4 linked regions of the Astyanax mexicanus genome follow. The main gene of each other region encodes a partner of the protein of the gene in region 3 in a complex. Links are inferred from orthologs where the notes say so. Each region holds a gene or a part of one and is shown on either strand. Other genes may lie near its edges. The genes, in order: ints1, ints2, ints4 and ints11.

What was found.
Region 1: ints4 (region 3) and ints1 share a complex: the UniProt entries of both Homo sapiens proteins name them as parts of the integrator complex. The link is inferred for Astyanax mexicanus from reciprocal best matches to the Homo sapiens genes INTS4 and INTS1.
Region 2: ints4 (region 3) and ints2 share a complex: the UniProt entries of both Homo sapiens proteins name them as parts of the integrator complex. The link is inferred for Astyanax mexicanus from reciprocal best matches to the Homo sapiens genes INTS4 and INTS2.
Region 4: the proteins of ints4 (region 3) and ints11 are in contact, whole or in part, in a cryo-EM structure (PDB 7BFP), measured with the Homo sapiens proteins. The link is inferred for Astyanax mexicanus from reciprocal best matches to the Homo sapiens genes INTS4 and INTS11. Residues at the interface, in NP_291025.3 of Homo sapiens: Leu159, Asp161, Thr162, Arg167, Tyr203, Gln207, Asp244, Ser292, Gly294, Trp296, Arg299, Lys323, Met326, Ser327, Asp328; in NP_060341.2 of Homo sapiens: Pro183, Trp191, Lys194, Asp212, Gln288, Gln400, Gln404, Lys462, Met465, Ala466, Leu469.

Annotation. Positions count from the first base shown.
Region 1 is NC_064410.1:57,377,598-57,384,446, reverse strand, and holds the start of ints1 (integrator complex subunit 1), read right to left. Parts: upstream 3,020-6,849; 5' UTR 2,907-3,019; intron 1,307-2,906; 5' UTR 1,277-1,306; coding exon 1,222-1,276; intron 1,118-1,221; coding exon 830-1,117; intron 1-829. UniProt on the Homo sapiens protein: Component of the integrator complex, a multiprotein complex that terminates RNA polymerase II (Pol II) transcription in the promoter-proximal region of genes.
Region 2 is NC_064427.1:13,883,744-13,891,721, reverse strand, and holds the start of ints2 (integrator complex subunit 2), read left to right. Parts: upstream 1-4,973; 5' UTR 4,974-5,066; intron 5,067-5,344; exon of another isoform or gene 5,345-5,751; intron 5,752-6,541; exon of another isoform or gene 6,542-6,546; 5' UTR 6,547-6,547; coding exon 6,548-6,840; intron 6,841-7,292; coding exon 7,293-7,431; intron 7,432-7,665; coding exon 7,666-7,768; intron 7,769-7,978. UniProt on the Homo sapiens protein: Component of the integrator complex, a multiprotein complex that terminates RNA polymerase II (Pol II) transcription in the promoter-proximal region of genes.
Region 3 is NC_064416.1:5,384,285-5,391,285, reverse strand, and holds the start of ints4 (integrator complex subunit 4), read left to right. Parts: upstream 1-3,995; 5' UTR 3,996-4,075; coding exon 4,076-4,129; intron 4,130-5,612; coding exon 5,613-5,810; intron 5,811-6,432; coding exon 6,433-6,550; intron 6,551-7,001. UniProt on the Homo sapiens protein: Component of the integrator complex, a multiprotein complex that terminates RNA polymerase II (Pol II) transcription in the promoter-proximal region of genes.
Region 4 is NC_064420.1:440,145-447,586, forward strand, and holds the start of ints11 (integrator complex subunit 11), read left to right. Parts: upstream 1-4,441; 5' UTR 4,442-4,809; coding exon 4,810-4,837; intron 4,838-5,476; coding exon 5,477-5,574; intron 5,575-5,862; coding exon 5,863-5,936; intron 5,937-6,273; coding exon 6,274-6,502; intron 6,503-7,104; coding exon 7,105-7,203; intron 7,204-7,313; coding exon 7,314-7,348; intron 7,349-7,442. Other genes in the region: ceramide-1-phosphate transfer protein, read right to left, coding at 1,482-2,004, 2,817-2,929.

The sequences.
Region 1 (6,849 bases), on a different chromosome or scaffold from region 3:
AAAATCCAGCCAAGATGTGCAAAACTGTCTGTATCTACGGACAAGGTGCTACTTTGAAGAACGTAAAGTATAAAACATATTCTGTTTTTTTAACATTTTTAGTTTCTAAAAAATTCTATGTGTTTTTCTTCATACGACTTAAGTATTAATCTACAATACACTGAGTATGAGTGATGGATCCAAACTTTTGACTGGTACTCTATGTGTCATGTGCCAGTATCTATTTAATTATCTTTATTTAAAGAGGTGTGCATAGACATTTGGACATACAGTGCATCTCCAAATGCCTATGGCAACAGAGATATCCAAGCATTCACAAATGGTACAAAGACGTGGTTTGATTAATGTGATCTCAATGAATTAATGTGAAATGTCTAGTATAACATCATTATGCACCATTTATTTTTTTACATTATTTTACTGCATTTAACATAACTGAGGTTGTGGAATCACCACCCAATAATTAAAAAATTAAAACATACAGCCAAACTATTTACATCAATTAAATTATATTATCCTAATGTCAATCTACAAAAAAAATTCACTGCTTATTTTATCACTCCTTCGATATATTCAATATATTATATCCAGCACTCTGTGTTATGTTGCTGTGCTGTGTTGTAAAGCTAATTATGTAGTCATGATTTTTTTTTTTTTTTTTTTTTTTTTTTTTTTAAATAATGAATATTCTGTTGGAATTCTGGGATAGTTTAGCTACTTGCAGTTCAGACTACAGTTCAGACAGTTCATGTGGAATGAGGTGGATATTTCAGTTTTAGACTCATTGAATGCAATAAAATGCAATAATGCAAATGCTAGAATGCCTCACCCTCAATAGGCACAACAGACGGCTCCTTGATGGAGGGAGATATTGCCCGTTTGTCAACAGCAGCTACTTCAGCCAGTCGTGAGAGAGCGCTGGGAGGGGTGGAGGAGTGTTTCGGCCGTTTAGCCAGGCTGGACAGGCCTGAGGAGGACGGCAGAGCTGAGGAAGCCTCTCTCTTGCGGTCTGCCGGTAAACCCGCAGCAGCTGGTTTCAGCAGTGCTGGATTCGCCTTGGCCTCACTGGCCTGGCTCTTAGCCCCCAGAGCTATGAAGTCTCCTGGAGGAGGATGACCTAAAGAGCAGCAGAGGAGATCATTCAGTATAAATGTATAACATACAGACTCAAAACACTCACTACTTCTTACTGTATTTGCATAACTAACTCATATCACGTACCTGATGTTTTGGCCCCGCTCGGGCGCCTGATGCCGGTTGGCTTTGGTCGATTCATGACTTCAGTATGATGCTCAACTTCTAAGAACTGAAATACAAATAAACATGTATTACATGACAATATAGTTTCGTAACATTAAAATGGAGAATACTACAACACTAGGAATAGTACATGAAGCACCCTTCAGAGCACTGATCACCCGAACACGATGATTATCTGAACGACTCTGGAGAGTTTAAAGCAATAAAACTGGAGAATCAGAAGTTACATCAGAAAATAATAAGCTGAGAGGGGATGCCAGACACTCTTCTTTGGATTAATGTGGACATGCATGAACAAATACCTTGTCTTTGCAGACCCTTATTAAATTGTTGCAATAAGCTCTGCAGGTGTTAGTCCAATATTTAAATTATATTTGATTTTAAGAAGAGGTTTCAGACCCAAATTCTTCTCAAAACTATAATAAAAATGTGTCTCGGATAGGAGGCAGAGTATTCATAACTTTGTAACAGTGTAATAACTCTTACTATGAGGAAGATTTTAGAGATTCAAAAACATCTAGAAAATGTTACTTAATACAGGACACTTTACTTGCATGACATTTTAATCCGTTAATCCAAGAGTTGTGGACAACCTTATTTATCCTTCAGCAGTATTTAATGTCACTTCTTATTTTTCCATCAACACAACGTATAATTCAAAGCTTATTACTTAAAAATACATTTTATGGAAATATTTAAAAAGTACATATGTGTTTTCATAAAGTAAATGAAATAAAAAAAATACTTTTAGTATTGTTTACCCAATTTGAACATACTTTTAATACTCCTAAGTATAAATCCTTTTTACAAGAGGTGACTTGATATATTACATATTTAGAGATGACAAAGATGACGAATATACAGTCCTAAGTTCTAGACCTCCTCTTTATTAAGGAGAGTTTTTAGAGGTGCAGAAACTAACATACATCTAAAAACTTACATAAACACAGCAGAATTTATATTAACTTATATTAGATCTGGCAAAGCAGATTTGGCAGTTTTTTTCATGGGCATAACCCACATATTTAGCTCTGCTGCTCATCTTACAAATTAATGTTCCTTACAAATGTTGTTTTATTTCAAATAGAAATTAACAGGCTTTAAAAATGTATAAGATGTATTATATAAAGGAGCAGTTACAACAAGGAAGTACCAAATCTAACTAACAAACTCAAAAGCCCTTGCTTTTTGTGGCATGTTTACATTAGGTAGGTTAAGAGTTTAGCTAGCTTAGTTAGCTTAGCCCGTTTTGCTGTGTGTTTGCTGGGATATTTGGCTATAATACAATTTTAACAATAATGTGCAGCTAGTTAATAGTCTGGGTGTTGAAACATAGATATATTAGCTAATAATTAATCATATGGCTTATATTAAGTGTTTAAGTCTGTAGAATAATCATGCTAACGCAGCTTAGCTTAGCTTAGCTAACCTAGCTTCACTGTAGTAGGTTAGTTCATTGAGACGTTAGCTAGGTTAGCACTAGCATTAGCATTAGCAGGAGTTTCCAGCACAATACTGTAGAATAAGAGCCCGTAACACAGCTAAATTCCCACATTACAGCCCTGCTCCACTTATTAATAACTCAATACAGATTCAGAGCTGCAGTTAATATGAAATAATCAGTAATTTTAATAATAATAACTCACTCTGTCTCAGAGCCGCTCCTCCATCATAACAACAGCGCTGTCTTTAATCCAGAGCCTGAGAGCAGCGAGCAGCTACCGGCTACCGGCTACCAACTACCTCCCCCTGCTGATCAGGAGCTCCCCACACTACCGTATACAGGTGCATCTCAAAAAATAAATAATTATCAGTGAAAAGTTGCATTATTTCAGTAATTCAGATCGAAATGTGAAACTCCTATATTAAACAGATGTATTACACACTGAGTAATCTATTTTAAGCCTTAGAGCCAATGAAAACCCAAAAATCAGTGTCTCAGAAAATTATAATATTATAGGAGACCAACTGATACGTTTGGCAGTGTGCCAAGTCCTGCTGGAAAATGAAATCTGCATCTCCATAAAAAAAGTTGACCAGCAGATGACATGGCTCTCCAAACCATCAGTGACCATCAGTAAATTTTACATTTCATATTTCATTTGGAAATCAAGGGACCATGTGAGGAGATGTGGATTTCATTTTCCAGCAGGACTTGGCACACTGCCCACACTGCCAAAAGTACCAATTGGTCTTATATAATATAAAAATTTTCTGAGACACAGTTTTTTTTAAATCATCAACACTATAGGAAATACACGCTTAAAATAGATCACACTGTGTAATACATCTATATAATATATGAGTTTCACATTTTGAACTGAATTACTGAAATATAGTAATTTTGCTGGACAGTCAAAGCCCCAGTTTTTACTTTTTAATTAAAAACTGCTAAAATCAAGCAACATAACTATACTATACATGCCCTTGTAAAATATAAGTGTATTAAGTATATTTTTTAAAAGTATCCTTAACATGAAAAAGTACATACTGTTTAAAATTAAATACTAAATGGACTATTTTGAAACAAATTATTGCAACTTAAGTATATTTCAGTTGTAATTAAGCTATATTTAAATACAACATGAAAGCATTAGATTGTGCTTTTGAGTGCGGCTTTTTTTATATAACTTCTGCAAACTTAAGTAGATTGAAGTATGTGTTTTTAACACCTTTTTAATGCACTTGAAGTATATGGTAAATGTACTAATTTGCATATTGATGCACATATTGTGTATACCTTAATGACATTGGGAAACAATTGGGGAAAATACACTAAATTGCACTTTAAGCAGTATTTAATGCCAATATGTTTTCAGTCAACACAGCATATAATTGAAAGCATATTGCTTAAAAATACATTTTACAGAAATACAGAGAGAGTACATATGTGTTTTTTCGTAAAGTATATGAAATAAAAAAATACTTTTAATATTCTTTACCTAAATAAAGCCAACCCTTGTAAACAGGAATTATATTAAGAGTATTAAAAGTACTTTTAATACTCTTAACTATAATTCCTTTTTACAAGGGTTGGCTTGATATTTTACTATTTATTTGGGCCCTGGTCATTTGGGTGCTATTAGAGGTGCAGAAACTAACATACATCTAGAAACTTACATAAACACAGCAGAATTTATATTAAACAGAGAAAGTATATTAAATTAAAACATGTACTTTTAGTATTCTTTACCTGATTTAAACATATTTTTAATGCTCTTAAGTATACTTCCTTTTCACAAGGGATGGCTTGATTACAATATATTTTCATGCTGTTTCCAGAGGAGGATTACTGAGAAAACCCATAAACCCCACCCTAAACACCCCACCACACCCCATCTCCTCAGTAAACAGTGGTGTGTATTGCTGCCCCCCTGAACTAACTGTTCCCTACTGCTGTTTTTACCAAACGTTAGTCAGCAGTGCTCTGATTCCAGTTGATCAGCTTAACCTCCTGCTGAATAAACCATGACTGGAGCTCTTCTGGAGACACTGAATTAGGCTGTTTTCTCGAGAAGCCGAAGAGTCACAAAAAAAGTCACGTTTACTCTGGATTCTTCTATTTTTTATATAATTAACAACACACTAAGAAAATTACGTACAGCAGCCTCATACGCCAGTGTTTCTGGTAAACGGAGCAGGGCTGGGTGGCACTGTTGCCACACTGGAACACTCTGAGAGCTGCGAGGAACGCGGCTTCCAAGAATCCTCACATTACAAAATGATGTCAGGCATGGAAACAGACATTACATGTGCCTGCCAGACAAAAGAAAACAGAACTTTCACCCAGAAGAGAACACCACAGAACACACATACACAGTAAAGGCCCTGCTGCTCAAAACAACATGTGCTGTAACCTGATCCCTGGTGTGAAAACACACACACACTCACACACACACTTACACACACATACACACACAGGCCTGGCTACAGTGGCATGTATACTATATAGCGGTAATGTATCCCTCTGTCCTGCAAAAGCACAGAGAATGGGACTATCCTTTTGGCCTTTTCAGTGACAGCCTTAATAAAAGCCCCCCAATAACATCACCATACTGTGCGTCCGGTCTCCCGTTACACTACATTACCAAGAGATGACCACAGCACAGTTTCCCACTCCTTGTAGGCCTATTCTATCAATGAGGAGGAGATATTAACCCTTAAAACTCTGTGGAGAAGTTTCACTGAGAGGGATTAAAGGAAAACTCCGGTGTAAAATGGACTTTTGATGTAGTAAAACAGCTCTGTTCTCCCACAGCGTTCAGAGATCCAGAAATTGTAACAGTTTGTCCCAACACCCTTTAGACTAGTTGACATGGGGCCTAATCTGCCCCGATAAATCGATTTTCCCATCCTATAACGTGAGCTTCAGCTCCGAGCGCCGCCATCACTGAACTAAAAAATAACATAGACATACATACAAGGGGTTGGACAATGAAACTAAAAAACACCTGTCAATTTAGTGTAGAAGGTTCCATGGCAAAATTGGAGCAGCCTGGTGGCCAATCTTCATTAATTGCACATTGCACCAGTAAGAGCAGAGTGTGAAGGTTCAGTTAGCAGGGTAAGAGCACATTTTTACTGAAAATATTGCAATGCACACAACATTATGGGTGACATACCAGAGTTCAAAAGAGGACAAATTGTTGGTGCACGTCTTGCTGGAGCATCTGTGACCAAGACAGCAAGTCTTTGTGATGCATCAAGAGCCACGGTATCCAGGGTAATGTCAGCATACCACCAAGAAGGACCAACCACATCCAACAGGATTAACTGTGGACGCTGTAAGAGGAAGCTGTCTGAAAGGGCTGTTCAGGTGCTAACTCGGATTGTATCCAAAAAACACAAAAAAACACGGCTTCCCAAATCGTTGTTGGAGAGAGCGCCATCTACTATACCCACCCAGATAAAGCATGGCTAACTGTGCTCTCTCGAACTCAGGCTGCTGATGTCGAAGCATCAGGGATTCAAACAGGCAATCCTTGGATAATAGAGAGGTATACAATTCAGGTTCTCTGCCTGAGCCCCAGCACTTTCCTCGGGCCCTGAATGGATCAGGCTCAAGAAAATAGTCTGAGATTTTGTTTTGTTTTTTTATTTTATATAAAGTTATGGCGTGATAATAACAATATAGCATTATACCGGAATTCTTAATGAACAGAATTCTTAAATTTACATTGCATATATGGCATTTAGCTGATTTACAAGGTTATTCCTATTACAGAGGTGGACCAATGTAGTGTTAGGAGTCTTGCCCAAGGACACCTATTGGTGTAGCAAAGCATTAAGTCACCCAGACCAGGAATTGAACCCCAGTCTCTCATGTAATTTAGTAGCTCACAAGCAGGTAGTGGTGTTAGCCACTGTGCCACACCAATAGGCCTGTTCTTCCATGTTGCGCTGTTCACTGACATCATACTACACAGATTTTTCTCATTAAAACAACTAGGAATTGTAGCTAAAAAGCTCAGTTTTTAATGCTCTAATTGCTAAAACAAATGTTGGGCTCTTAATAACAGTTTATGTGGAGGGTCGGGTTGGGCGCGAACAGAACCTGCGCAGGCTTGGGTAGGGCTGTTCTGGATTTTT
Region 2 (7,978 bases), on a different chromosome or scaffold from region 3:
TCTCGGTTGTGCTGTTGTGAGTGAGTGGAATGACCTTAATGGGCAGGGTTTATTCCCAGCAGCCAATGACAGGGTCACAACCGGATTTCTTATGAAACAGATTTCTTACGAACTTTGTAAAAAAAAAAAAAAAAAAAAGCTGCACAAGAATGACCAGTACATGTTTTGAATATATATGTGTTATTAGATTTAGAGATTTAAAAAAGATAAAAAAAAAAACAAGCAAATGGCACCCAATCAGTGGAATGGACCATATGGTGTTTTAGGGCCATACCAAAAAAACAAACAGTTCACTTCGAGAGTAAAGACAAAATAATTACAAGAACAAATTTGTTATATTATAAGAATAAAGATGTAATTTTACGAGAATAAAGACGTTACATTACGAAAATAATGTTATATTATGAGAATTTCTTACGTCTATTCCCATAATATTAAGTCTTTATTCTCGTGATATAACGTCTTTATTCTTGTAATATTATGTCTTTATTCTCATAATATTAGGACTTTATTTTCTTGTTATATTACGTCTCAAAATATAACAACTTTTTTCTCGTAATATTACGTCTTTATTCTCGTTACGTCTTTATTTTCGTAATAACTACGTGCTATAGTGTGAAGGTGTAAAATGACGCAACCACTAAAGCATACCTTCATTGGCACTATAGCAAAGCCGTTTAAGTTTTGACTCCTGAACCATAGGTTCTATTGACAAAATTCTTTTTTTAGGCTTATTAGGCTATGAGGTTCCGCCCAATTAATAATTTGCATAATATGCAAAACCTACTTTGGCAAACTAGTCCCAAATCCTGACATGTTTAATGTCAAACAACTCGGCAGAGTACAAACCTTAATAATTATCAAAAAAGTTAAAATTTGCAAACAATATGTTCGTCATATGCAAATTAGTATTACCATGGCACAGCCAAACTAACTCTTACAGTTACATTGAATGCTTAACCTGACAGTAAACCCACTTCAGACCTACTAGCATGATTTTGAGGTACCTGGTCAAATCATGTAGACATAGGGGAGACTGTCATTCCGATAGTCCAAGGAAATGTTCAAGCCACCGACATCATTTATCTTCAAACTACAAGGAAAAGTTAAATTCTGAGATAAAGTATTTTTATTTTTTATTTTTTGTCTTTTGCAATTGCTGTTAATGTTGTAAGTGTTATATCAGGTGAAAGTACAGTTTATGGAGTAATGAATGGTGTAACTGTCTCTTGCTAATGTTAAAGCACCATGCTTATTTAGCTAGCTAAACAAAGAATGACAGGGGTGGGGTAGGTTGTAACAAGACTTTTTGGAAATGTTACAACCATCCCCGGGCATTAACATTATAGTTTTTTTTGTGATTTTAATTCTCCAGAATGCCTAGAATGGGTGAGGAAAACAGAAAGAGGAGTGGATGCCAAAATTCTAGAAAGAGCAGCAGAGGAGGTTAAGAACGGACAATCAGTCACTTTGTACAGATACTACAGAAAAATTCAAGGTTTTAAAAGACCAGGGCTCAAAGGACCTTCCACGTGTTGGATATGTCAGTCCTTTTTTGAGCAAATTCAATTGAATTTTTGGTTAGCACTAAATAAATAAATGAGTAAATAAATAAAATAAATAAATAAGTAAACAAATTGGCAAATGAAATGAAGTTCCATTGTTTTCTTTGTATTTTTGTTTATCTGTTACAACTGACCCCGGCAGGTGTTACAACCTACCCCGGTAGTGGGATGATTGTAACAAAAGAACACTCTGTATTTGACATGATCTGACAAGTTATGGGATATAATGGAGGACATTTAAATGGTTATAATTTGTAGTAGACAAATGTGGGTGCTTTGTCAAAAAGTTTCATATCTGTACCTTTTTAAAAATAGGTAGTTTGGGGTGTTTTCCAAAAAGTGTTACTTTCATACCCGGTCTCCCCTATGCCCCCAAGGGGCGGAGCCAATGATGGAAAACCATACAAGAACCATACAAGCTACCAAGCTCATAGTTGGCAAATACCAGTGAGGGCTTATCTACTAATGGTACTCTCAGAGAGAATTTGATATTAAAATTTTTGTGATCGCTATTAGATTCCATCAAGCTTTTGACAGGCTAAACATTGACCAATGACGACGAAACTTATTGTCTTTATGTAAATAAGGGCCTCCTATCATCCATTAAAGTATTGAATTGATTGGCCTCTCGGGGGCGCTATAGCAGAAAATCAGTTAAATCAGAATATACTTGTAGCATAAGCATATTATTCTTTTTGATTTTTATGCATTGCTGAAGCCTTTGTAATTACATATTTCTACCAAAAATGCATTGTTTTTCATCTGTGGCCATTAGTGTAAAAATTACACTTTTCGAAACTTTGAATATTCAACCAAGTAAATCAGCATTGGCCTTGCTGCAATCTTGAGAGGTAAATAATTATCAAAAAAAATCTTGAGATTTTAACTTTTTGTGGCACCAACACCTTGATCAAACAGGTACGTGAAACTCTGTCAAAGTTTATGTCATGTCAAAAGTATTGAAGACTCCAATAAACAATGACATTTCAATCCCATGTGCCAAGTATGAGCTAAGTGAGTCTTCAGGAGGCTCTACATTGACAAATTAACTATTGTACATTTTTACCATTTATCGCTATTTTTTAACCTAAATGGACAGGAGACAGGAACCTTTGGGCCTATTAACATACAAATTTACATACATATATATACACTGATATTATGATCTTGATTCCCAATTTTAAGTCATATTGGATTTTTTTCCCTATAAAAGGCCACAAAATCTACTGTGATTGTGAAGGTTTGAGGCCTAATGTATTGCTATTTTCAAAACTAAAAGACCTCAGCTTTGACCCTATCAACACAAAAGCTTAAACATATATATACAGACTACCTGATCATGATTAATAATGTTGAGCCAAATCGGACTTTTCTCTACAATCATTAAAAATCTAATGATAAGCATATTTCTCTCTCACAGATGGATAGATTCTCAGCAGGTTTTATATGGTGTCTTGCTGCACTCTGGTGGTCATTTGGTGAAACAACTGCAATTTATTAATTTTAAATTAAAGCTCTGCTGAACTCTCTAGCTCATTTGAACTTGCTGGTCTTGCTGGTTGAACATCTTTATCCTTCTTGGTCATGCTGGTCAGCCACATTGGTCATTCTTGTTGTGCTCCACCCACTTAGGTTTTTTGCAAATTTGCATAGTATGCAAAACATACTTTTGAGAACTTCTCATTGGCTCATTGACCAATCATGACATGTTTGGTGTCAAACAGCTCAGCAAAGCAAAAGCCTTAATAATTATTTTAAAAATATTGAACTTTATAAACAATATGTCCGCCATATGCAAATTAGTCCTTCCATGGTGCAGCAAAATGTCTTCTAACACTTACAACTTTATTAACATTAATACCACTTCAGTCCTTTGATCATAACATGATTCTCAGATACCCTGTCAGTTTATCCAGACATACACCACAGGAGTGTTACTCTTTCTCTAGAACCATACAAGCTATCAAGTTCAGCCTTGGCAATTATCATCTATTGTCTATGTACTAATGGGACGACAAAGGAAAAATTGATGTCATTTTTTGTGGTCACTATTAGCCACATTCACATTCCAGCAAGCTTTTGACAGGCTGAATGTTAACCAATCAGGTCAAAACTTATACACTATATGTAGGCTATTTCCAATTTAAGAACTGGAGTTGTTTCTTCAAATGACCACTAGAGTGCAACAAGACACCACATAAAGCTGCTGAACAATATACCTCAATTGATCAGTGTTTTTCAACTAGTTTAAAAAATAAATGAGTGTGGAAAAATCCACAGCAATATTTGTCCTTCTTTAGGATTTTGACAGTCTTAGTGTGTATTAGGTATGATAGTTTTCTAGACGACTTAAGACTGACGAGATAATGGCCTGGGAATTAGGCCAAAAGTGAAAGCTATAACGTTTTAATTAATATCATCTAATTTTATTCATATTTTATTCCACTTCGCAATGTGTTCTGCCCTTTATTCAGAGCGTTTGCACAGCGCTTTGCTTGCATGCTGTTTTTTACTGTTAAAATGCGCCATCTACAGGCGGCCGCATGTATGTTCAGCCAGCATGAACGGAAATCTGAATAAGACACTGGCGAATAAGAAGCTAACTTCAGCCTCGTGCGTCCAGAAACCCCAAAAGTGTCTCCTTTTTCCTACCGGTCCTCCTCCTCTCCTCCGTGACCCGGAAACTGATTTCGTAACGCCATCTTGCCGCCTGTCCGAATACCGTAGGAGACGAAAGAAGCCGCTTAAAATCTGCCTCGAATAGGCTTCCAACAGAGGTTACATCAGTGCATCCTACTCCGGAAGACTTTTAGTGATTTTCCAATGACATCACTGCATCCACGCCCACAGAGCACGCGGGAATGGAGAAGACAACGCACAAATGTACTTCATAAGCATATTAATTAACTAGGTTCCTTGTCTAATTAAACAGCCAGTAAAGCAGTAATAAAATGTTTAGTTTAGGTAAGCTGTGTGTTCAGTAAAACTATATTAATGACCCTATATGTAACATATTGTTGTAAATATACACATCATTTCCACATGTATGAAAAATATATTTATTATTATATTTATTATTTATTAATTAGTTTTTTTGTTTTATTACATTCAATGTAATCACATTTTACTATTAAAATAATTTAATATTTACATATGCAACCTTCATCAGGCTGTACTTTTAAAGCTTAATATGCTTGTCAAAGTTATGATCTCTAGAATTTGGAATTGTGTTTATTGATTTCTCGTTTTTATTTTTGTATGCGGAAGCTGTGATTGGCTGGGCAGTATCCGGCATGTGCTGAAAGTGAGCGTTGTGATTGGCTCAGTTCAAAGGTGGTCAACATCCTATCTAAAAGGGATCAGCTGTCCCATTTCCCCAATTACAGCTCCTTCCCTCCATTCCTCCACCTTCTTCTGGGTAGGAGAGGAGTAGCAAAAGTTGCTGGACGCAGCCAGTGTGTGAAGTGAACTGTTTTTTTTTTGGTATGGCATTAAAACGACGTACGTAACGTAACTGTTCTAATTTTGGAGTTTCCATTAGCTGTAAGCTAATCAACATTAAAAGTTGAATAAATAAGCGCAATGAAAAGATAACTAAAATACGGAAATAATAAACAATTTAATTATATTCTATTTTTTAATGCACTTGTATGTAATATTGAACAATTTCCCTGAATAAAATAGATTTCTCATTTGTTTGATTTGCTTCATAGGATATGTGTGCACAATGTATGAAAGGGGTTTACAAACTTCCAAACGTCCACTGCAGCTCGGTTAGCTAACCGAGGTCATCTGCAGAACATGAGTGCTTTATTTCCCGAGGTCTAGCCTTGTGTTGTACTTGTTAGCCTCCTAGCCCGGCCATCCGCTGCGCTGCAGCTCACAGAACAAGCTAGTCGGTACTGAGCGCTTCGCAGAAGAATTTAAACTAATAGAAGTATAAACAGTGGTGGCTAGCTAACGCTACTTGTTTTAGGAATAATTAAATAATCTGGTTCGTTAACTGTAGATCAGCTTCAGGCTTCGCTAACGTGCATGAGCTAAGTGAACGGTTCGGATCTCGTTGAATGGCTTTCACTGCTAGCCAGCTTGTTAGCCGAGTGTGTCGGCTTGAGGTGCCACGGCATTGTCTGCCCGGGCCTCGCTAAAGTCTCTCAGATTTTTACAAGCTGCTGTAAAGTTCCAGGTAAGAAGTTCTCAGTTACATAAACAATATTCTAGTGAAGCGTGGCACACAGCTGCCTGGTAGCTAAAAACTGGTGTAGTTAACCACTATCGTTTGTGTTGGACTGAGCTAGCTAACTAGCCAGCCAACGCTATGCTTACTAGCTAGCTAGCTATCTTCACTTCAGACTTCAGCGAGGTTAAGAATAACGTTTGCGCATTTAAGCAAATGGTTTTAGTTCATTTTAGTTGCACAACCACGAGTACTTACTAAACATGACGCACTTAGTTAGGTAACTAGCAAAATTACTGCTCTCTATATTTACTATTGTTAGCTAGCAAGCTAGCCACTTAACCTAGCTCGGTTATGTAGCGTTAGCTTTGACTGATTCCTTTTTTGGTGGACTACTTTAGGCTGCAGGGTTTATTACATTAAGTCAACTTTCACATGTGGAACATAGGCTGGTTGGGTAGGTTTCAGGTGGGCATGGGCTCTGAGTGGGTTTGTGCTGGTTTTTATTGTTTACAGGCACCAGTGCAGTGTACAACAACGATGGGGCCCATGTTTAATCCCTCCTGGTTGTATCACTTCAACGATTTTCTTCTGGTTTTCAACTGGGCTGCCCAAGCCACATGGACACGTTATCTGTAGGCTTAAAATAGTTATAAAAACTCGCTGCATTGAATAACTATGCAAAATACCTAAACGTGTGAATGCAGCTAAAAATTTGCCAAATTAACTGGATATGTCTAATCTCTAGTGTTGGTGATGATCATGTAACTTCCCTGTGAACTTGTGTTTCCTTTTGCAGAGCAGAATGACAGAAACTTCAGGGCTTCAGTTTGTGAGCCCATATGCCTTTGAGGCCATGCAGAAGGTGGACGTGATGCGCCTTGCAGCTTTGAGTGATCCTGAGCTGAGGCTTCTGTTGCCATGCCTGGTGAGGATGGCACTGTGTGCCCCTGCTGACCAGAGCAATGCCTGGGCACAGGATAAGAAGCTCATCCTGCGCCTGCTGTCCGGTGTAGAGGCAGTGAACTCCATAGTGGCACTGCTTTCTGTGGACTTTCATGCCCTGGAGCAGGATGCCAGGAAAGAACAGCAACTCAGGTGAATCCCCAAGGACCCATCAACATTTTAATACGCTAGGGTATTTCTGGGGCTATATAGTTTCCTGTGTACATGAATGATGAATGATGAAAAAACATGCATTCCTGTTTAGATGAATAAAATTGTGCTTTAGGAATTGTAAAAGGCCTTTCTAAAATAGTTTTGCATTTAAACACTTTCTCCACTGTCCATGTTGGTTTGCAGTATTCCTATGAGGTTTGTTTATGGAAAATTGATTGGAAAACCTGAATGTGGTACGTTAGGACACAGTTGGAGACCTTGTGTTTTAATAGTATATATTTATAATAGTATCGATTGTCCAAAAAATAGAACTTCACATTTCCCTGGTTGTTCTATTGTTCTCATTGGAAGTGTTACCTAATTAGATGTTTTTGTTTGTTAACAAAAAAAACACACCAACCATTTAAATAAGTGTTGTCTTCTCATTACAGGCATAAGGCTGGAGGGTCAAATGGCGAGAGTATCCTTGTTTCCCAGCTGCAGCATGGGCTTACACTGGAGTTTGAACACAGTGACCCACTAAGGAGACTCAGACTGTCTCTAAGTGAGCTGCTGGCCATCATGAACAAGGTTCTTATGTCAATGTTTTGTGTGGACATGAACAACCCACTTGTGCATTTTTATTTCAAGCGTAGAGAGGCTCATTACATCTGAGTTCAAGTATACAGTGGAGTAAAATTCTGTTTCTCTAGAGCTATGGGGAAACATGGATCAAACAGCATAATATTAATAATTGAATACAACAGCTTTAACTGATTATATCATCCAAGATATCTAATCAAATCAGTTTTATTTGTTATACAGGTAGCTGACTCCAATGGGGAGTTTTTTCTAAAGACCTCTGAGCTATTTGAGAGTCCTGTGTACCTGGAAGAGGTAGCCGATGTCCTCTGCATCCTTCAAGCAGGTAGATATTGTAGCTGCAGTTTACTTTCTGAGTACTTTCTGGAATTTCCAAGTAAAATATGCTTACTTGTAAATCTGCTTTTACTGTAGCTGCTAATGCTTTTTAAAATTAATGGATACAAGATCTCATCCTCTCACAGCTGATCACTGAGTCAACCCAGCCAAACCTAAAAAAAACCTCCAAATCTACCCTGATTGATTTAATCTTTTC
Region 3 (7,001 bases):
GTTAAATTTCTCGCGTTTATGGTGGAAGTAGTTAACTGTTCAGCGCAAACAGATAGCAGAACTGAAAGGATTAGGATTATTCTTAGGGCAGCCGAGAAACATCTGGCTATGGAAGGTGTAACAGTTGACCAACTAAATGAGTCCTTAATGTCGCAGTTTGCTACTTCACAGTCTGTAAGTGGCATGTGATGGTGGCCCTTACTCTCCTGCAATGGAATGCGAGAAGTTTGATTGCAAATGGTTTGGATTTTAAGCAATATATTAATAGTAGCAATGAACGACCTAGTGTTATATGTGTTCAGGAAACGTGGTTAAACCCACGTCTGGATTATAGGATACAAGGATATGAGGTTGTCAGATGGGACAGGGTGACGGGCTCTGGAGGGGGGGTTGCAATGTTTATTAAACAAGATTTGAGTTATAAAATAGTAGAGGTGAATGCAGACTTTGAAAGTGTGATGGTGGATGTATGGGTCGGTTCCTGTTTTGTGCGGATTGTTAATTTTTATAATCCTTGTGACAAACTGAGTTTGGATATTCTTGAAAAAGTGAGTGGCCAAGGGTATCATAGATTTATATGGTGTGGTGATTTTAATGCACACAGTACTTTGTGGGGTTGCAAGGAGTCTGATCATAATGGTAGGGTGGTGGAAGAAATGTTAGAATGTACTGGCCTGGTGTGTCTTAATACAGGTGAAGGGACGAGGTTTGATGTGGCACGGGGGCAATTTTCTGCATTAGATTTGACCTTGACGTCTGGTGATTTGGCTGGGATAGCTGATTGGATGGTTAGGCAGGATGTCCTGGTGGGTAGTGACCATTCTCCAATTTGGTGTAGAATAGGTCTGGACCTAGTCCATGATATAGAGAAGGTAAAACGTTGGAATTTTAGGAAAGCAAATTGGGGTATGTTTTTGGATTTATGTGAGGCTGGGGTTAATGAGATTTCTTTTGAGGATGATGTGGAGACTTTTAATAATAAGATTCAGAATCTTTTGTGTAAGTCTGCAGTCAAGGCTATTGGGAAAACGAACAGTGGGAAGGGAAAGAAAGTTGTTCCGTGGTGGACGTCTGAGTGCTCAGCGAGTGTTAAAAGTCGGCGTAAAGCGTTTCGAGCTCTGAAGTCCCTTCATACCTTTCAATTGTTAATTGAGTTTCAAAAGGCAAGAGCAGTAGCTCGGAATGTTATTCGGAAGGCTAAAAGAAAGTATTGGAGGGATTTTTGTTCTTCTTTAGGACGACAAACATCTGTTGCTGATGTGTGGAGTATGATTAAGAAAATGGGGGGTAAACGGGTTGACTGTAGTATCCCTGTTCTGAAGCATGGGGCTGAGATAGCAGTGTCGGACCGAGAAAAAGCTGAGATTTTAGCAAAGACTTTTATTGCGATTCATAGTAATAATAATTTAACTGAAGACGCAAGGTTGTACAGGGAACAGCAGAATAGGCTAAATCAGTGTATTATTACGAGATGTGAGGATGGTGGACACCCTTTGGACGTCGAATTTAGTCTACTGGAACTGAAACAGGCATTAGAGTCAGCTAGGCAGACTGCACCTGGGAAAGATGAGGTCTGCTACATTATGTTGAGGAATGTATCAGATAGAGTTCTTCAGTGTGTTTTAGCTTTATTTAACAAAGTATGGAAGGAAGGAAGCCTACCCAATTCTTGGAAGCATGGTGTGGTAGTTCCTATAGTAAAACCAGGGAAAGACAAATCACATGCATCTAGTTATAGGCCTATTGCTCTGACTTCAAATCTGTGCAAACTTATGGAGAAAATGATTGTTAGACGTTTGTTGTATGAACTAGAGAGGAGGGGATTATTGTCTCCTTACCAGAGTGGATTTCGGAAAGGTCGTAGCACTATAGATGCTGTATTATACCTGGAATCAGACATAAGGAAGGCTCAGGTATCCAAAGAGTTTGTCATGGCAGTATTCTTTGACATTGAAAAAGCGTATGACATGATTTGGAAAGAAGGTCTTTTAGTTAAGCTGTATAACATGGGAATTGGTGGTAGACTATTCAATTGGATTCGGGATTTTCTTTTTGGGAGGTCTATCCAAGTTAGAGTAGGTGCTAGTTACTCTGCAATTTATTCTGTGGACAATGGTACACCGCAAGGTAGTGTCTGTAGTCCTGTATTATTTAATATAATGATTAACGATATTTTTTCTATGGTTGATTCAGGAATTGGAAAGTCATTATATGCAGATGACGGGGCTTTGTGGAAAAGAGGCCGTAATGTAGGGCAGGTCCAGAAGAAAATGCAATTGGCCATCAATGCGGTAGAAAACTGGGCATTTAAATGGAGTTTCAAATTTTCAGTGAATAAAACTCAGGCAATTTGTTTCACTAAAATGAGAAATGTTCCGAATGTTCAGCTACAGATGTATGGTCAGACTTTGACACAGGTCTCAGAAGTTAAGTATTTGGGGGTATGGATGGATGGTAAACTAACTTTTCAGTCTCACATTAATAGATTGGTATCAAGATGTAAACATAGTATTAATGTAATGAGATGTCTAGCTGGACTGGACTGGGGTGCAAGTAGGAAGGCGCTACTGCAGATATATTTCTCTCTCATTCGTGCAGCAATAGACTATGGTAGTGTTGTTTATGGGTCTGCCTCAAAAACTGTGTTGCAGAAGGTAGATAAAGTTCAGTTACAAGCATTGAGGGTATGCTGTGGGGCTTTTAGATCTTCCTCAAACCCAGCGATTTTAGTGGAAACGGGTGAACCACCGCTGGACCTTAGACGTCAGCAGTTAGCCATGTCCTACTGGGTGGGAATAAAAGGGCATGATATAGATCATCCTGCTAATATAGTTTTAAGGGATTGCTGGGAACATGGTGATAGCAGAGGTAAAAGTTTTGGGTGGATAGCGGGTGAATTGGCTCGGCAAATGAATCTGGAAAGTCTCTGTTTATGTAAAACTGTGATTGCGGCACCAATTTCTCCTTGGCTATTTCCAATGCCGGAAGTTGACTTAAAATTGCAAAATGAGTTTAAGAAACATGGGAAGCAGGTGATGAAAGATCAGGTAACACTATCATATTTAGATCTCTATTATAAATATGACCTCAAAATTTATACAGACGCATCTGTGGATCCAGATTCAGGAAGAGCTGGAGTATCAGTGTATGTTCCAACCTTTAAGACGGAACTTATTAGGAGAGTGTCAGATTATGTGGCAGTGTATACAGCTGAATTGGTGGCCATTATGATGGCCTTGCTCTGGGTCGAGGATGTACGGCCCTTGAGAACAGTAATATGTTCTGACTCTCAGACTGTTTTGAAAAGCCTAACGAACGGTCAAAAGTCATCAAGGATAGACATTATTTATGACGTCCTCATGATCCTTCTCAGGTTACAGCATTTGGGTTTATCAGTTGGCTTTCTGTGGGTACCAGCTCATGTGGGGGTGGAGGGCAATGAATGTGCTGATATGTTGGCAAAGCGAGCCCTTACGCTGGACTTTATTAATGTTTCAGTGCCCTTAAGCAGGCAGGAGGCTAAGCTGCTCATTAAAAAATATGTAACTAGGACTTGGCAAGGTATGTGGGATGGGGAACAAAAAGGAAGGCATCTTTATAAGTTTCAAAGGTTAGTAGGACAGAGAATAATTAGAGGTAAAAATAGACAGGAAGAGTTGGTACTTACTAGGGTACGTATAGGACATTGTGGACTGAATCAGAGTCTGTTCAGAATTGGTAAACATCCGGATGGCAATTGTCTGTATTGCTCTCAACCAGAGACTATAGAACATGTCTTAATACAGTGTGTGGCATATGATATACAAAGGGAAGAGGTGTTTGGAGGAGTTCGGGCAGTAGGGAATCTATCTATACATAGTATGATTCACGACACATATAAGTTGATTAAATTTCTTAAATTATCTGGGCTGTTTAATAGGATTTAGAATTCAGCATTTCATGTTCTATCCAGTAAGTGGCAGTAATGCACCAATGACAGGAGTGCTGGCTGCCATTAATTCGACAAAGAAGAAGAAGCGCGAGCTGGGACAGACAGAGCGCGCTGAGGCGAACCCGGCGGTGGCTGTTTGTTAAAATGGCTGCTCACCTGAAGAAGAGGGTTTATGAGGAATTTTCTAAAGTAGTTCAGGTAAATAAAACTCAGTTTATCAGAAATACACTGTATTACTCAGAGTTACACCGAGATAAGCGCTGCTGCAGGCCGGCTGGAGCGATTAGCTAACGGGCTAATGCTGCTCCGCGCGCCGGTGTTTTTAATCAGCAGCTCATTAACTACAGTCTCCACTACTCTTTATTTTCTCTTTATTTAAGAGTTTTTACGCGTTTTTTAGTGTTTTTTACTCAGTAATGTATTGATATGTAACTAATATAACACGCCAGGAGTGCTTATAAACTTATACATTTATTAAAAAGACCAAACCAAGCTAATAATTACTCAAACACTGTGTTTGAGACTGTTTACATAACGTTAGACAGTTTATATTAAGTAGTTCAGCCATTAGTATAAATAAGTCTATGCAGCTACCAGGTATACCTTCAAATAAAGAAATAATATTTCTGTTTAAGGTTACAAAAAGAAGGAAATTACTTTTAAATAATGTCCTACATCTCTAATGAAAAAGACTTAACGTTACCTTGTAAAAGAAGTATATATTTTAAAATTATGCCTGCTAAGTTAAGTACATACTTTTAGCATTAAAATAAATACGTTCACGTATATAAAACGTTTATTTTAATTGTAATTAAGCTATATTTGAATATAACAAAAAGCATTAGGCTGTGCTTTAAGTGCCTTTTTTAATAACGTCTGCAAACTTAATTAGATTTAAGTATATTTGTGTCTCTAAAGCATACTTTTTGATACACTTAAAGTATGTTGTAAATGTTCTACTTTCTCGTATTGCTGCACATATGCTTTTGGGGGGGAAAAACTACACTAAAGTGCACTTTAAGCAGCATTTAATGCCACTACATATATTTGATTATATATACTTGTATAACGTATAATTTAATGCATGTTGCTTTAAACTAAATCTTATAGAAATACAGAAAGTATATTAAATAGAAAATGCACTTTTAACCTTATTTACCTAATCTGAACATACTTTTAATGCTCCTAAGTATACTTCTTTTTTTTTTTTTTTTTTACAAGGGATAATATGGGTCTGCCCTTTTGTACCTTTTGTGTGTTTATATGTATACATGAATTAGGGATGGGCAATACTGTAAAAAATAATAATCACTTTAGTTTTTACATAATTTCAGTTTTTATTTGGAAACAGACAGCAGCATTTCTTTTTCATTTAATAAAACAAATCTGAATAGTAAGCAGCCCTCTTCAACCTTTCATGCGGCTTTTATATTAAAAAAGTGTAAACACAATCTTATATTTTAGTGAAAGAAAAGTGTAAAATATGAAAATCGCTGACACATAAGAGTTACTTAAAGGTTTCTAACAGAGTCAAATGTCTCTCTTCCGCTTCTATATCTAAATATATATTATAATCATTATCTCATTTCGAAAATCATTGTATTAAAACAATAATTTTATTCCTAGGGTTAATATAACTTATGTCATTAAATTATTTGTATTATTATCAATTTTCCTTAAGCAACAGCTTCTTGAAGAAGTACCGGCGAAGAAGCTCCGGCTGACCAAACCCAGTAAATCTGCAGCTCTTCATATTGACCTGTGCAAAGCCACCAACCCCACAGATGCCCTGCAGTATCTCCTCAGCTTCGCCCGTAAGCCAGTGGAGGCAGAAAGTGTTGAGGGTGTAGTTCGTATCCTTCTGGAGCATTATTACAAAGTAAGTGTGTGTTGTGAGTCGGGTAGAATTGTGTAACAATAGAATTATAACGTGCAATGCTTAAATTGCAGATTTTTAAATAAAACTTTATCAAATTCAATTTTCCCAGCATCAGTATTGACTTCTTTTAAAAGTAAGACATTTTTGCATGGCCATGTTAAAATGCACAGCTGATTATAGAGAAATAAAGTGGAAACTGATCAGATTTAGGATTATGACATTGCGTATTATGGATGTGACAATTCATCGATGCATTATAAATACGCAACATACAATTTATTTTTTTATTGAAACAAAGGCGCTCTTTGTGCTGTAAACTTAGACTCGCTCCCTATTACTATTTTAGGAATATTCTAGCCTCTTCAGTGACACAGATGCTGTGAAGTATTGTAGAGAATTGTCTTGTGATATATTGAATATCACAGAATCACAGTATCGTGATACCATCTTTATTGTGTGCAGCTTATCGTAATATCATATCATGCAATCCCTTGTGATTCACATCCTATTATATATATACAACAGAGATGTTATGTACATATACATTGTGATGTTTTTTGGTTTTGATTTCTGGATTCTTGCTAATGTGATACTTTTATTTTATAAATATGTTTTTGAACAGGAAATAGATAACTCGGTCAGGCTGAAGATTGCTTCATTGCTTGGACTGCTCTCCAAAACACCTGGATTCTCCCCCGACTGCATTGTGGATGATGTTATAAGCACCCTTAATAATGACAGTAAGTTATTTCCGTAGATGGACTGATAATTATTCATGAAGGAAATGGACTGCTAGTCTCTTATGCAACATATTAAAAGGAACAAATGCAAAACTCAGCCCCTATAAACACTCCAAGCACCAAAAAAATCCATCCATCCATTTTCTGTGAATCAGCTGAGTTTGGTCTCAGGAATCATAAACGTCTATGAGCTATTTGGTTGCTTCTCCTATATTGTAACGTCACCTTAAGGAAACCACCTTTCACCCGTTGACCCCCACCAGAGCCCCACCCACTAGATCAGTTGAAGAAATGCCATTTCACCTCAGACAGTACACTGCAGAATTAGCCAGCAGACTTCGTCTGAGGGAGGGATCTGTATCTACTGTCCTTGGCAGTTCAGCAGATGAGGAAGCTGTAAGGACTTTAAAATAATGAGTTTGAAAGTATTTACATCTACCTCATAAACTAG
Region 4 (7,442 bases), on a different chromosome or scaffold from region 3:
TCCCCCCAGAGAGAGAGAGCACGACCAAGCATTGTGCTCGCTCGGACTCTGGCTGCTGAGCCACTGGAAGCCCAAAAGAACCTCCCTAGCTTTCAATGGAATTCAACTGCATTCAAAAGCATTTCTATTGGTACAGTTTTACTGCTGCTGTAGTCTTTCACGCTGTTTACTCAAACTATATATCTATACAGCTCTGGATAAAAAAATGGAGAGAGCACATCAGTTTCTGAATGTTTGAGTAAAATTAACATTTTTGTTTTATTTTAAAAACTATGGACAACATTTCTCCCAAATTCCAAATAAAATAAATTTTGTAATTGAAAGCATTTATTTGCAGAAAAAGAAAAAAAAGATGCAGAGCTTTTAGACCTCAATCAATATTTGGTGAAATCAATATTGGGTGGAATAAATCTGGTTTTTAATCACAGTTTTCATGCATCTTGGTATCATGTTCTCCTCCACCAGTCTTACACACTGCTTTTGGATAACTTTATGCTGCTTTACTCCTGGTGCAAAAATGTATTCAAGCAGTTCAGTTTGGTGGTTTGATGGTTTGTGATCATCCATCTTCCTCTTGATTATATTTCAGAGGTTTTTAATTTGGTAAAATCAGAGAAACTCATCATTTTTAAGTGCTCTCTTATTTTTTTTCCAGAGCTGTATGATTATTGAAAAACTGTTGGTATTGAGTTTTAGCATTTAGTTGACCGTCGCCATGAAACCATGTGTTTGGTCAAAAAGAAAGAGAGATAAGTGTATAAAGTGATAACAGCCTAATATAGTCATTATACGATATGAGATGAGATCCAAGATCTCAGTAGTAGCGCCAAATAAAACCAGCATCATTCCACACAGTCATTTTACTACACTATCTACTACAGTTCAGGCCAAAAGTTTGGACACAGCTTCTCTTTTTCAATGCGTTTTCTTTATTTTCATGATTATTTACATTGTAGATTCTCACTGAAGCATCAAAACTATGAATGAACACATGTGGAGTTTTATGTTCTTAATAAAAAAGGTGAAAATAACTAAAAAAACATGTTTTATAGTTTTTCTAGTTTCTTCAAAATAAAAGCCCCCCTTTGCTCTGGTTACTGCTTTACACACTCTTGGCATCATTCTCTCAATGAGCTTCATTTAAGAGGTGGCCACCTGAAATGAAAAGTTTTCCAACAGTCTTGAAGGAAGGAAGGAGTTCCCAGAGGTGTTTATTAGCACTTGTTGCTCCTTTGTCTTCTTCACTCTGTGCTCCAGCTCACCCCAAACCTGGATCTGGATTGGGTTCAGGTCCGGTGACTGTGGAGGTTCAGCTCATTTTTTATTAAGTACATAAAACTCCACATGTGTTCATTCATAGTTTTGATGCTTCAGTGAGAATCTACAATGTAAATAGTCCTGAAGATAAAGAAAACGCACTGAAAAAGAGAAGGTGTGTCCAAACTACTGTATATCATCTACTGCTGCGTCTTCTGCTATATCTAGGGCAGCTCCAGCAGGTTGTTCTGGGCGTACAGGTCCTCTGTGATCTGATGCACCTCTGAGATCAGGGCTAAAGCTTCTCCCAGCAGGGCGACCACCTCCTGCTCACTGCCTGCGTTCATCACCTGGAAGAAGGAGTCCCGGCCGGGCAGGGCGCAGAAAGCCACGCCCGTCGCCTTCCTGATGATCCAGGCGTGGTGCTGAGCCAGAGACTCGTTGTAGGCGTCCGAGCACATGACGGAGGTCTTGCTCTCCTCGGTGCTGGTGCGCAGACGCTCCAGGAACAGCTCCAGCCAGAGCAGAGCGCGGTGCAGACGCAGGAGCGTCCGGCAGCCCGACTCCGGGTGACTGCTCCTCTTGGTCAGGTCCACCAGCTCGTTCTCCAGCTCATACTTCACCATCGACTGCACCGTGAGGTAGTGAGAGCCGGACTCGCCGGCCTGGAGATTCTCCAGAATCTGGATTTTATTCACCGCGTCCTTAGAGATGAAGGAGAACACGGTTCCCAGACTGTTCATGAAGCTGGAGGGAGGAGAGGAGACGAATTATTACATTTTATTACTGATTTACAGTGCAGATTTCTTACTTACATACTTAGATAATCAACAGATTATCAAACAAACTTTAATATCAGACAAATATCAAACATAACCTGAGTAAATATAAAAAGCAATGATGATAATAAATTATGAATTTGTGTACTAAGGAAAAAAATGAGAAAAGTTTAAAACACATACACTAACACTTTAAAACACCAACACATCATTTCATAAAAAGAGCAGCATCATATTAAACGTAAAACATGGTGGTGGTAGTGTGATGGTCTGGGGCTGCTGGACTACATGTTGTAATAGAATAACTTTATGCTGCTTTACTCCTGGTGCAAAAATTATTTCAAGCAGTTCAGTTTGGTGGTTTGATGATCAGCTTGTGATCATCCATCTGATTATATTGATTTTATTCCAGAGTTTTTTTTTTATTTGATAAAATCATAGAAACTCATAATTTTTATGTTCTCTCTCATTTTTAATAAATTTGCTGGTTTAAGTTCCTGTAAAATGTAAAAGACAAAAGCAAAACATACTTTAACATGATTTCACTGTCCCTTTTTTAAAGTTTGATTTTTTTTTTTATATATATAACCTTTTCTCAGGACTGATTTTTAAGTGGTCTCTTATTTTTTTTCAGAGCTGTAAATAAGTATTTTATTATTTAATATTATACTGATCATATAAACAGTTTATATTTAATACAGTATTAAATAAAGCTCTAAAATCCTGACTGTACAGACTGTAGAATAAAGAAATAAGGGAAAAAAGAGGTTTGTCCCATACCTGACCAGCTCCTTCCACCCTGCTATATAATACTGGATATATATTTCCTTATTCTCACTCAGGCTGGATTTAAAGGTGTCCAATACATTCTGTAAACTAAACGACTCTGCCATGATCCAGATCTGCTACTAAACCAGCTGCGGATGAGCTGAGTGGAGATACGAGCTCAGGATATTAAACTTTAGGAGTTTTTACAGATTAAAACATCAGAGTTTATCAGCCTGATCTGATTCTACTGTACCTACTAACCCGGTCTGCTCACCGGCTGCGCTCCAATATCACACCCTGTGTCCTACCAAGGGCGCTCAGTGACGTGCTCAGAATTCCACCCGTCAGATTAAAGGACTTACCGAAACAAAAAAATAGTCAGATGTAGATTTTGTATTTACTCAAAACCTATTGATATTTTTTTAAAAACAAGTCATTTAAAATAATACAATTTAAAATTTATTTGCTTTTGAAAACGTATAAAAAACATGTTTGAGCATTTTGAGCGTTGTAATATATTGTTTTAAATTAATACTTTTGTCTAAATGTATACTTATTTTCACTTACAATAAAAGAAAATAAGTGAGCATTCAAGAACGGAAAGTGACGATGTAAAACACTTCTTAATCTTTATCTATTTTTCTATTTTTTTGTGAAACTATTTTGTGAAACTATGGTCAAGATAATTTTTAATAATACAGTCAAGTAGTTTTATTGTCAATACTGCATATGTACAGGACATACAGAGGATTGGAATTACATTCCTTTCCTTCCCAAAGTTACAACAAGTACAGCTAAACGAAATAAAAAATAAATAAAAAATAACAATATTGTAAAATAAAAAAATAAATAAATATGAATAATGTGTTTTATATATAATAATAAATAAAATATAATGTATATAATAAGAAATTTTCTCTTACTTTTGAAATCGTATTTGTTTGTTTGTTTGTTTCTATATAGTAACTATATTTTTAAGTTTTATTAGATTTTTATAGTAATTTATCTTATAGTTTTTCTTACGGTTTTTTTGGTAAGACTTTTATTTAGCCGGGTTGTAGATTGCGCAGTGTGCACCCTCTGGGAGCGTTGGTTTGGGACGCAGCCGGTTAAGTATTTAGTCACTCTTCCGGATACCTAAAGACCAGAGCTGGCAGTTCCACCAATCAAAGCAGACTGTTATATTACGTGCTTACTTTTAAAGCAAGCGATTGGCTGGAGGTCAGTGCATCAATCGGGTTCCGCCGTTTTGAGCTGTGGTTTATTTTTGGGGACTTTTATGTTGAATAAAAATTAAATAAGCGATATTATTTTGTTATTAGGTTATCCATAATTTTAATAATAATGATAGTTAATATATAAAATATATGTACATTAACTGTATTTTTTTCTTTAGTTTAACAAATTATCTTGTATTTTATCATACGTCTTATTTGTTTGTTTGTTTATTACATGTCTTTTTCGATATTCTAAGACTAAATTCTAATATTTTTTTATAATATGGACATTTAATATATGTATTTATATAATGTATAATGTAATGTATTTAAATAATATTTGTTCCTACGTTAAAAGTCCTTTGGCATTTTCACCAATCAAGCAGGCTGCTACATCACGTGCTCAATTTTGAAGCGGACGATTGGCTGGAGGTCAGCGGACCAATCGGGTTCAGTCAGCATGTCCGCTGTTTAGTTTTGAGACATTTATGTTGAATTAAATTAAATTTATATGTTTTTTATCAGTTTATCCGCCTGTAAACAGCGTGATTTGAGTTATTTAGATGTAGTTTATTGTGTTTATGGTGTTTAATATAGAGGGGAATTTGGAAGCGTTCAGTATGTAGTAAACTAGCAGCTCAGTATAAGAGTGTGTTAGTTAGCCGGTTAGCCGGTTAGCTTCTCATCTGTAGCATAAACTAACGTTACAGTAAATAAACCAGAACTACAATAATAATATTAATATTATAAGAATCTCCTAAAGCTCATAAAGCTCCTGAAGCTTCATCATGCCGGACATTAAAGTAACTCCGCTGGGTAAGCTGCGTTTCTGTACTGTTTATTGTTCTTACTTTTTATTCATTTATTTAGGTTTTATTTGGATTATTATGATCTTAGTTCTTTATTATACCTTCTACTATTATCACTCTGTCACTTATTACTCATTATTTTATTTTATCATTTACTTTTACTATTTTTATTTCTATTATCTATATTATTTTTATGAATTTCTTTATTTTAAATTTGATAAATGCTTTCACTTTTTGTGTGTTAATTTTTTATGGTCGTTTTATTTAGATTTCCCTCTTTTATATGTATATATTAATATATTATACATTTATATTAAATGTATTTATTTGAAGTGTGTATTTATTTTATGTATTAAAAATTTTAATTTTTTTATATAATGTTTTCAATCCCTTTTATACTGTAAATCCTCGGCTGCAATGTAAATAAGGGTCACCCTCAATGTACTCCAGAGTTAAAATAAAGGATAATTGATTTGATTAATTGATTGATTGACTGATAGATTAGAGCTGAAACTGTATAATTTACTAGGATACAGTTCGTGTTCTGAATCCTATAATCTCAGTAATTCTGTAATAATAGTTAAAAAGTCTGTGTTTTCAGTATTAATATGTGTGTGTGTGTGTGTGTGTGTGTGTGTGTGTGTAGGAGCTGGGCAGGATGTTGGGCGCAGTTGTATCCTGGTTTCTATTGGAGGAAAGAACATAATGCTGGACTGTGGGATGCACATGGGCTATAATGATGATGTAGGTTAAGCTACTGAAACTTACTGGAACTGAACATAAAGCTGACTGAGAAAATGTTATATCTTAAATATAAAACATATTCTGGTTTGTTTAAGTTTTTTTGTTTACTAAATAATTCCAGATGTTTCTCTTTATAGTTTAAATGAGTTTATTGTTAATCTACAATAAAGGAAATTAAAGTAATGATAAAACACAACATGTAAAGTGTGTCCAAACTTTTGACTACTACAGTAAATTGATATGGTTTTTCCATAGTTCATTTATTTTTTGCTGTTTTTTTCTCTTTAGAGACGTTTCCCAGACTTTTCCTACATCACGCAGAACGGACGCCTCACAGAGTTTCTGGACTGTGTTATTATCAGGTAAAAACACAAACCATCAAACCACCAAACTGAACTGCTTGAATTTTTGCACCAGGAGTAAAGCAGCATAAAGTTATCCAAAAGCAGTGTGTAAGACTGGTGGAGGAGAACATGATGCCAAGATGCATGAAAAGAAACTGTAATTAAAAACCAACCAGGGTTATTCCACCAAATATTGATGATTTCTGAACTCTTAAAACTTTATGAATATGAACTTGTTTTCTTTGCATTATTTGAGGTCTGAAAGTTCTGCATCTGCATTAAAAAATAGAACATTGACAGCACTGCTTTAAAGAATTGATGAACTGATTTCTGATTGGCTGCTGATCTCTCACAGTCATTTCCACCTGGACCACTGCGGCGCTCTGCCCTACATGAGTGAGATGGTGGGATACGACGGACCCATCTACATGACCCATCCCACCAAGGCCATCTGTCCCATCCTGCTGGAGGACTTCAGGAAAATCACTGTGGACAAAAAGGGGGAAACAAACTTCTTCACGTCTCAGATGATCAAAGACTGCATGAAGAAAGTGGTTCCACTCAACCTCCACCAGACCGTCCAGGTGAGTAACTAAACACACTGTTCATCAATCGGCAAGTCGCTTTAATCAATAAAGATTTTTTCCCCCCATAATTTCTATAACTAATATTGCGCATCATTAAAAAGATTCTTACATCGTACTAGTCTGCACTTCTTGAAGGTTAATAATTGTTTGCTCAGTATATTAAAGGAAGCTATATATTTATCGCATTGTTTATTTACTTGAGTTCAAATATCAAACAGTGCACACGGTTATGAAGCGCTTCCCTGCAGGCACAGAACACTGTTAGACTTTATCCTGACGTAAAATATTTGTCGTTTGGCGTCATGACCAACATTCAACCTGAAATGAACGTCTATTGGACGTTGTTGGCCAGCTCGGTTATTAATGGGTATTTACATGTAAATAAATGAATTTGATTTAGATGAAATTGGCACGGCTTCTTCAGAGTGTGAGTAGATCCAGACTTTAGAGCACCTCAGCCTGTTTACCTCGCTGTGTGTTTCCTCTGTTTCATGCGAAGTTTCTAAAATGAGCAGCAGAATTTTCTCTTGATTATGTCCCGGAGGTTTTTGGTAAAAGACAGAAACGCCGCTGGTGTTGTTGTTATTTTTGTGCTCTAGGTGGACGATGAGCTGGAGATTAAAGCGTACTACGCCGGTCATGTTCTGGGGGCGGCGATGGTTCTGATTAAAGTCGGATCGGAGTCTGTGGTTTATACTGTGAGTAATAATACTATAACTGTTTTCTGCTTCAATAAAAGCATGTGGAAATATTATACACTCTTTTTTTTAATACATGTATAATTTAATATATGTGATTTGTCCTACAGGGGGATTATAACATGACCCCAGACAGACACTTAGGGTAAGCATTGTTTTTCCTTTTTATATTTATATATTTAGTTATTCAGACTGTTTTTCTAATAATATTTAGATGTCGGAATTGGATTTAAAAAATA